2 linked regions of the Tribolium castaneum genome follow. Each later gene encodes a partner of the first gene's protein in a complex. Links are inferred from orthologs where the notes say so. Each region holds a gene or a part of one and is shown in the gene's direction. Other genes may lie near its edges.

Region 1 (3,822 bases):
CTTATTATTAAGTATTTTATTTTAGTATTTTCGTCGTTTTCAAAATTTAAATGCCCAAAGTTCAAAAATTTTTCCTAAATACTGGGAGTTCAAAAACTGGCACACCAACTCACTGTTACGTTGTTGAGAAGCATGGGTAGATTTCGGGAAAAATCTTGAAAAAAATCCTAAAGTCATGTTTTAGAAAATCTTCAGCTAAAAACTTTTGTTAATCTCTTCACTGTTCATTATTTTTTAAAGTTGCTATGTTTCATAATAATTAATCGATCCCTAGCACAATGATGGATAATTATATTAAAATTTACTATCATACTTTAGTAGTTTTTTTAATTAAAAAAATTAAATTTGTCAAAAAATCACAATTTGTAGATGTGCCAACACTGGGAATTATTTCCTGGGAAACCGTTACAAAAATAATTTATTTTTATTGTTGATCAAATTATATTCGGAAGTAAAATTACCGTTGGGGGCGCCACTGAGCTAGGTCGAAAACAGTAACCATAAATGGCGGGAAAATGTTTATTTAGATGTTTTGAGCGTTGTACGAATTTTGAGGCTTCACAATTATTACAATGCTTATGCGGAATGACTATTGTATCTTTGGTGTAAGAAACGAATGTTGACAAATTAGAGATGACGAGGAAAACACGAATAACGAATGACTGTTTGGTTCACTTTCTTTATTGGAAAATTATTACAAAGACAGTGAAAAGCCTACCTTTTGGCATAATTTACGTTTAAATGTATCAGCAGTTGTTAATCTTAAATGTAGTTTTGTAGATTTACAGAAGTATTTCATGATTTTTTCAGTGGAAAAATTCTACCTAAAATTCAGACACTTCACTAATTTATTGGTTTCTTGAGCCCAACATGTGCTCGCTGTAATCTATCACTTATAGTCTTTAATTACACAACTGTTTAATAAGACTTTGTAATCAAAATTTAAATCTTTTTCACTTTTTATCCACTTTCAAATTCCAACAGTAAACACTTTATACCACGAAAAACCGCAGAACCAAAGTCAGAGCTAGTATTTACCATCATACACTTTTAAAGTGATTTTCTCTAATGTAAGCAATTAACACTATACACGCAAAATTGTTGAACAATTCATTAAATATCAATTAAATGTGTAATTACTGAAACTTTGTTACTGTTTTCGATATAATTCAAAAGTTATCACCAGAGGACGTCAAGTTAATTTTATTTCCGAATTAAGATCACGACTGTTAGACAACGTTGCCACATATCATTTATTTAAAATTCGTTATTTATCAATAATTTTAATTTAAAAAATTTTTTTACTATCTTTAGCTGCATTGAAGCCACAGACCGTTGAGTTGCACCAACTCAACGCACCGTCGGTTTTTGAGCAGCCGGTAGACTGTTCATATACCAAGAGGGACAAAATTAGTATTACATTTGCTGGTGATGGCTTTTGCCTTTTTAGAGAACGTTATAGCACGCTAGAACTCACTATTTTTATAATTTAAACTTTTGAAGGTCTAAAATGACATGGTTGTCTTTTTGTTTGATTTTTTATTTTTCAAACAAGAAAATCATTTTTTGTCAAAAAATGATCAAATTGGATATAAATTCAAGGACTTCTGATCTGTGTAGAGTAATTTAGCAGATTTTTTTTTAACCATGAACGTCACATATTTTCTTAAAAACCATCTAATTAGATCGAAAATTATCTAATTTTTAGGTAAAAACAAATTTGTTTGGCGAAATTTTCCTCCAACAAGGCGATTCCATTGTCGGTATTATAAAATAAGCTCGAGTCGACATTGGGAGAGAATTAAAAATAAGATTGAAACTGAAAGATTTTTTTTGACAGTAAATTTCACCATGTTATGTGTTTAATTTTGTATTTTTATTTTACTGTTAACAAATTTCTTATCAATATTATGTTCAGTTACCGCCCCTGATAACTAGAACACTTTTCGCCAAATCCAAAATTTTATTTTTATTTTTAACTGTTCTCGAACCCACAAAATTTGTACCAATTTTTGCTCGTACGAATTTAAAATCTTTGTTAAAACCTCAAATAAGGGGTCTTAGTTTTCAAGATCCGCAATTATATGCTTTAGATAAGTATAAATTTTAGATTTGGTGGTACTTCATCTACTTCACTTCGCGAGCCGCCATTGCCCAAATTTCTAATTGACATTCACTGTTTATTTGTTTGTTTCTTTAATTAGAAGACTGGAAGTACAGAACGCGACCACAGCCGCAACGAGCCCGAAAGGCGAGACAGAGAGCGAGACCGCGACAAAACCTATCCTCGCTCTCGTAGCCGCGACAGAGACAGGCAATCACGTGACTACAGTCGTGACGTAAGTCGGGAACGGGATTGGGATCGCAATGACCGGGAATGGGATCGTGACCGAACACGAGACCGGGATCGCGACCGCGAGCGCGACCGATCATACAAACACGACGAAAACTACCGAAGGTCGTACAATAGAGACGAGCGAGAGGAGCGGAAACGGCCGAGGACGCCGCCCATCCAATCACCGAAACGGCCACACACTCCGCACGGAGAGCGAAAAGAGCCGACCCCTCCCGAAGTGGATAGTTTCAGCGAAGAGGAGGAAAGGCGGGAGAAGGAACCGAAGGATGAAGCCACGGTTAAGAGTCCAGCCAAGGAGGTTGTGACGCCTCCCACTGAAGACACCGCTCAAATGGACGTCGAGGAATTCGAGCCGATTTTGAGCGATGAAGAAATCGTCGACGAAGAAATGGACTATGATTTCGGGGCGTACACGAATAATGACGATTTGATCAAGCTGTTTATACCGGGGGTCACGAATTTGCGCAAATTTGAGACAACTCCATCGTTTTGTTTCACGAATGGGGGCTTAAATGTTGACGAGAATTTGAAGACAACGATTGGCATTGTTGATGATTACTTCAAGTCGAGTATCACTAAATACGTTCTGGAGGATTTCACGAAACTTAACACAGAAATCAAGGAAGAGTTTATACACTTATGCGAAAAACTAATAAATACGTTTGGTTCAATTGACCATTTTCGCGACATTATCAAAATTAATGTTGCAATAAAGTCGCGTGATTTTCGCGAAGATAAAGAACTGGTCGAGCAAGTTAATTCGATCACTTGCACTCTTCTTGATTGGTTGAAAATCGCGCTTAGTTACGAAATGGCGAATATTCAAGACCAGCCGGTGTATAAAATCCGCCACATTAAGTGTGGGGTCAGACTGGCAGAATGGTGTTGCAGCAGCGGAGAATTTGTCAAAATTCTCTGGGAGTCAGGTTTCAACATCCACGAAGTTCTCTTAAGTCTTTACGACCAGGAATACATGGCTTTGTCCATCAAACTAATGATAATCAAGGCATTGGACACCTATCTCTTGCACAAATTTTCAATCGAAAAGTTCCTCTTGGGTGATTCTTCGAATACTTCCAATGGTTGTCGGGAGAACGGCTTTCACGACTCTTTGACCGTTTCGAAGAACAATGGTTACAAAACACTGGTGGAAAAACTACGAAAAAATCCTTCAGTCCGGCTAAAGTTTGCCCTAAATTCGACTCTCAAGAAGATTAATTTGTACGAAGTGTTTCACAAGATGCACTCCATTCTCATGGAAATGCGCAGTTGTCCATCCGAGATCAGCCCAGATGATGTGACTCTGATTACAAAGTGTTTGGAACAAATTCTGAATGCCACTCAAAATGGCCAGTTTGTGTTTTCACAACCGAAACGGTTTCTCCCGGTCGCGGCCCAGTTTGAAATGATTCGGACCGAATCCAAGAACGTCCTAGTCGAATATTTCCGAATGTTTGACGCTCTTC
Region 2 (4,442 bases), on another chromosome or scaffold:
TAATTTACTCAACGCTTCGTTGTTTCTCAAGGGGGCTTCGGTGACCCCCCAAGTTGGCTTTTTGCGATTTTTGAAATTTGTTAGCGAGCTTCAGTGCGATATTCAGGCGGTTGTGGTCAATTTCAACAATGAGATTGCAAGTGAGACACTTGCAGAAATCGACTCGAAACTCCTCCAAAATCGCGAGGCTTTGCCCGATTTATTTATCGCAATGCCGTACGACGGCTGTGAGTCTGTTTTTACCAAAAGGGGGCCCTCGAAGTTGGTCTTGCGGAGGGTCAAACAACTGGCAAGTGAGTCTTTGAATTGTTTTGGGCAAATCATCAAAGGAGAGAGTTTTGGTTCAATTAAAAGCTTGTTTATTCCGAATCTTGAGGGGTACGATGTTATTATTCACTTGCGCCCCCTTTTGAACCCCGTACGACACGAACAAGTCACTGGGGACGAGTCCGAGGGGCAAATTGTTTTGGAGGAATTTAACAGAAACGAAAGCACGAAAATTCCAGTCACTGGCTTTAACCCAGTTCAGTTGTATTTGGCCGAACTGCGCAAACATTACGGCGATTTTGCCAATTTTTTCCACGATACGTACGGAGGTAATTTTATCGGGGTTTTGTGGATACCTAAAGCTTTGGAAAGTCGAGACTTCAAGGTGAGATTTTTAGATGTTTTTTGATTTATTACATTTATTTTTAGGTGTCTTATGCAAGCGGGAGGAAACTTGTGAATGGAAAATTGGAGCTGAACGTGGATGCGTTGATTGAAGACTTTTATATTGTGGGAAAAGGCTTAGTCAAGTCAATTGATAAGAAGAAATAAAAAATCAAACAATTACTCTTATTATTTCTAACCATTACAAACCTTACAAATTAGTTTTTTTGGGCCCTCACGTGCTCAATAACCAGTTTTTCGGTGCTATATAATTGACTTACGACCACCTGGAGATAATTACGTCAATTAACCCCTAAACGAATTAATTGTGAATACCTGTCTTTTAATTACATCTAAATTACGAACTCCTTCATCCATTTTTTGCCTAATCACGTCCTGGTCAGTCAATTGTCTATTTTCCCGAAAACTGTCCCTTATCTTCCTTAAGGCATAGTGTCTACAACCCCCAATGAAAAAATCGTTTGCAAAAACGCCCTTACCTGAAGTTATAAGCCGGAAACTTCTTCGACTCGCGAATCAGAGCTTTATACAACTGCAACGCCTGTCTTTTACTCATTTTGCCCCAATTTTACGAAACCGAAAGAACATAACCAAAGAGTTGAGGTTGTGTTAGTTAGCGTTAGCCGTAACCTCAAACATGTGTTAGTTGTGTTTTTTTGGCGGAAAATAGTCTTTTGAAATGTCGGACGCTTGGGAAGAGATCCAAGCTATCAAAAGCAAGCGGAACATCCTGCGCGAACGCCTGGAAAAGCGCAAGAAGGAGCGGCAGGACATCCTTGGTTCGAGTCTCAACTCGTCACCTGTGCACCTGTCCGACAGCCCCCATGCGGGTGGTGTTGGGGGCGAAGATGTTAAAAGACCAGAGGAGGGTGAAATCGATTTGGTGAAAATCGACCCAGAGCTGGAGAAAGAGTTGTTGAAGGCGCTGAGCGAAGTCACTCTTCAGATCCCCACAACTTCGACGGAATTGGTCGATTCGTTGAAATTGACTTTGAAGCGACATGCCTCACATAAGGAAGTTTGCAATTTGTTGCAAAAATTCTCAACTCAGAAGTTGATCACTATCAAGGATTTAGTCAAAGAGGGGAAGAACGTGGTCGAAGTGACTTTTATCGATGTGACTAAAGTTAACGCAATGATTGCGGAGTTTTTGCCTGAACGGGTGAGGGAATCCCTGAAGCGGAAGCGAAACGACTCGGAGAAAAACGAAGACGAAGAGAAGAGGAAAAAAGAGAAGAAGGAACCAAAAGCTGACATCATGGTAATTAACTGATTGATTCTGTCCTTTTAATTAATTAATTTCCCTAGTCTTTACTATCAATGCCCTCAACGAAAGAAAAAGAGAGTAAAAAACTGGGCGAAGAAATTCTAGATCTGTTGAGTAAACCAACGGCCAAAGAGCGTTCGCTGGCCGAGCGCTTCAGGTCTCAAGGGGGCAAACAACTGATGGAGTTTTGCCCCCATGGGACTCGCGCCGACTGCGAACGAAACGGAATCACAGACTGCAAAAAATTGCATTTTAAAAAAATCATACAAAAACACACTGACGAAGCTTTAGGGGATTGTTCCTTCCTTAACACTTGTTTCCACATGGACACTTGTAAATACGTCCACTATGAAGTCGATCGCTGTGGGCAAACGGAGGGCGTAGCCCCGGCCGCCACCGCCGTCTCAGTGGCCCCAAAAGAAAGCACTACCTTGTACCCCCCGCAGTGGGTGCAGTGCGACCTGCGCTATCTCGACATGACTGTCTTAGGTTTGTTTGTCGGTCTTAATAATATTTGCGTTTGGTCGTGACTTCCAAAATTTAAAATCTTGTGAAAAGCTGCCATAATACGTCAAATGAGCCCAGAATTCACTGGAACAAACCGTTTTGCTCTACGACTTTTAGCTTTTGAGTTATAAATTTTTTTGTTGTAGAATTAAAAATTCCTCTTGAAATGGCTACCTTCATTTTTCAGCTCAATTATGGCAAAACTATTCAAAAAAGTGGAACAATTTTGATGGAAATCAATGTAAAATAATCCGGGGAATCGATTGGTGACGAGAAAATCGCCAAATACCCAGTAGTTTTTAAGTTACGAATTTTTTTCATTTTATTTTTTTTTATTTTTTTTGCAATTATCTCGAAAACTGTCGGAGAACGATGATTTTTTTAAATAACTGTTTTTCCCCGACATTTCCGAAAATATTAATGGTTGAATTTAGGAAAATTCGCCGTGATAATGGCGGACCCCCCCTGGGACATCCACATGGAGCTGCCCTATGGGACCATGTCCGACGACGAGATGCGTCAGCTGGGGATCCCCCAGCTGCAAGACGAGGGCCTGATTTTCCTGTGGGTGACAGGCCGTGCCATGGAGCTGGGCCGCGAGTGCCTCCAATTGTGGGGCTACGAGCGCGTTGACGAAATAATCTGGGTGAAGACGAACCAATTGCAGCGCATTATCAGGACGGGGCGCACCGGCCATTGGCTGAACCACGGCAAGGAGCACTGTCTCGTGGGCATGAAGGGCAACCCCCAGAACCTCAACCGGGGACTAGACTCGGACGTGATCGTGGCCGAAGTGCGCGCCACGAGCCACAAACCGGACGAAATCTACGGAATGATCGAGCGACTCTCGCCCGGGACGCGCAAAATCGAGCTGTTCGGGCGCCCCCACAACATCCAGCCCAACTGGATCACTTTGGGGAACCAAGTGGACGGGATCAAGCTGGTCGACGCAGAACTGATCGAGAATTTCAAGAAACGCTACCCCACGGGGAACTGTATGGGGCCCCCCGGTGACACGACCCATTAATTTGTTTATGTTTTGGTGGAGTGGTGGCGACTTTTTGCCTTATTGACTGGTGGTTTAGTGTCTTTAATCGCGTGGAGTTGGGGGGGCATCAGCTGATTTTGACAGATGTCAGGTTTGACAAGATGGCGCTTGGAAGTTTTACGAGTTTTTAGACAAAGGATCGTTCGATTTAAGAGAAAAAGAATAAACAGTTTTGATTTGTTGCTTGTTGTGTATTATTGTTGATTAAAGACTGGTTTTTATTGATTGCGGAAAATGCTGACGCTCAACGTTGTTCCTGAACGTTCTTTGGGCTGTGAACAGTGGGAGTTTATTGTAGGTGGGTTTCCCTTTTCTCTATTATTTTTATTGCGCGTAACATGGTTGACATCGTTTTTGCGATGGGGCGATGTGACGGCCAACACTGAATGGAAATTTGACCCATTTTACGTAACGCTAATTGGTTGGCGACCTTCAAAATGTAATTTCGAATTTTCTCTTTTCAGGAATGCATTTTTCCCAGGCTATTGCAATTATTCAGTCCCAAGTGGGCAACATAAAGAATGTACAAGTCCTCTATAACGATACTGTAAGAAAGAGCGGCCCCAAACCACACACTCACTAACGATTTTTCAGAACCCTTTAGACATAGACCTCGTTCTTAATTTACCCCAGGACGGCATTAGATTATTTTTTGACCCCATTTCACAGCGGCTAAAAATAATCGAAATATACTGTATGAAATTAGTCAAGTTAAAATACTGGTAACGTTTTAGCCCTACGTTCTTTTTTCTCATTTGTTATTCCAGTAACCTCCCATTTAACTCGCCAGAAGTACTGCCATCAATCGAACAAATTGAACACTCATTCGGTGCCACTCATCCAGGAGTATATGATTCGGAGAAGGAGCTATTCATATTGAATTTTCGGGGACTTTCGTTCTATTTTCCAGTCGAATCAAAATTCCAGTCTGGAAACACCCATAATCTG

What was found.
Region 2: vir (region 1) and Mettl3 share a complex: the UniProt entries of both Drosophila melanogaster proteins name them as parts of the WMM complex. The link is inferred for Tribolium castaneum from reciprocal best matches to the Drosophila melanogaster genes vir and Mettl3.

What each region holds. Positions count from the first base shown.
Region 1 is NC_087394.1:22,059,386-22,063,207, forward strand, and holds part of vir (protein virilizer), read left to right. Parts: intron 1-2,204; coding exon 2,205-3,822. UniProt on the Drosophila melanogaster protein: Associated component of the WMM complex, a complex that mediates N6-methyladenosine (m6A) methylation of mRNAs, a modification that plays a role in the efficiency of mRNA splicing and is required for sex determination.
Region 2 is NC_087396.1:23,067,339-23,071,780, forward strand, and holds Mettl3 (N6-adenosine-methyltransferase catalytic subunit), read left to right. Parts: upstream 1-1,351; coding exon 1,352-1,933; intron 1,934-1,980; coding exon 1,981-2,428; intron 2,429-2,880; coding exon 2,881-3,473; 3' UTR 3,474-3,677; downstream 3,678-4,442. Other genes in the region: Mat89Ba (nucleolar protein 6), read left to right, coding at 1-652, 697-819; protein bcn92, read right to left, coding at 870-938, 988-1,108, 1,152-1,228; PHAF1 protein CG7083, read left to right, coding at 3,729-3,792, 3,959-4,041, 4,089-4,216, 4,262-4,442. UniProt on the Drosophila melanogaster protein: Catalytic component of the WMM complex, a complex that mediates N6-methyladenosine (m6A) methylation of mRNAs, a modification that plays a role in the efficiency of mRNA splicing and is required for sex determination.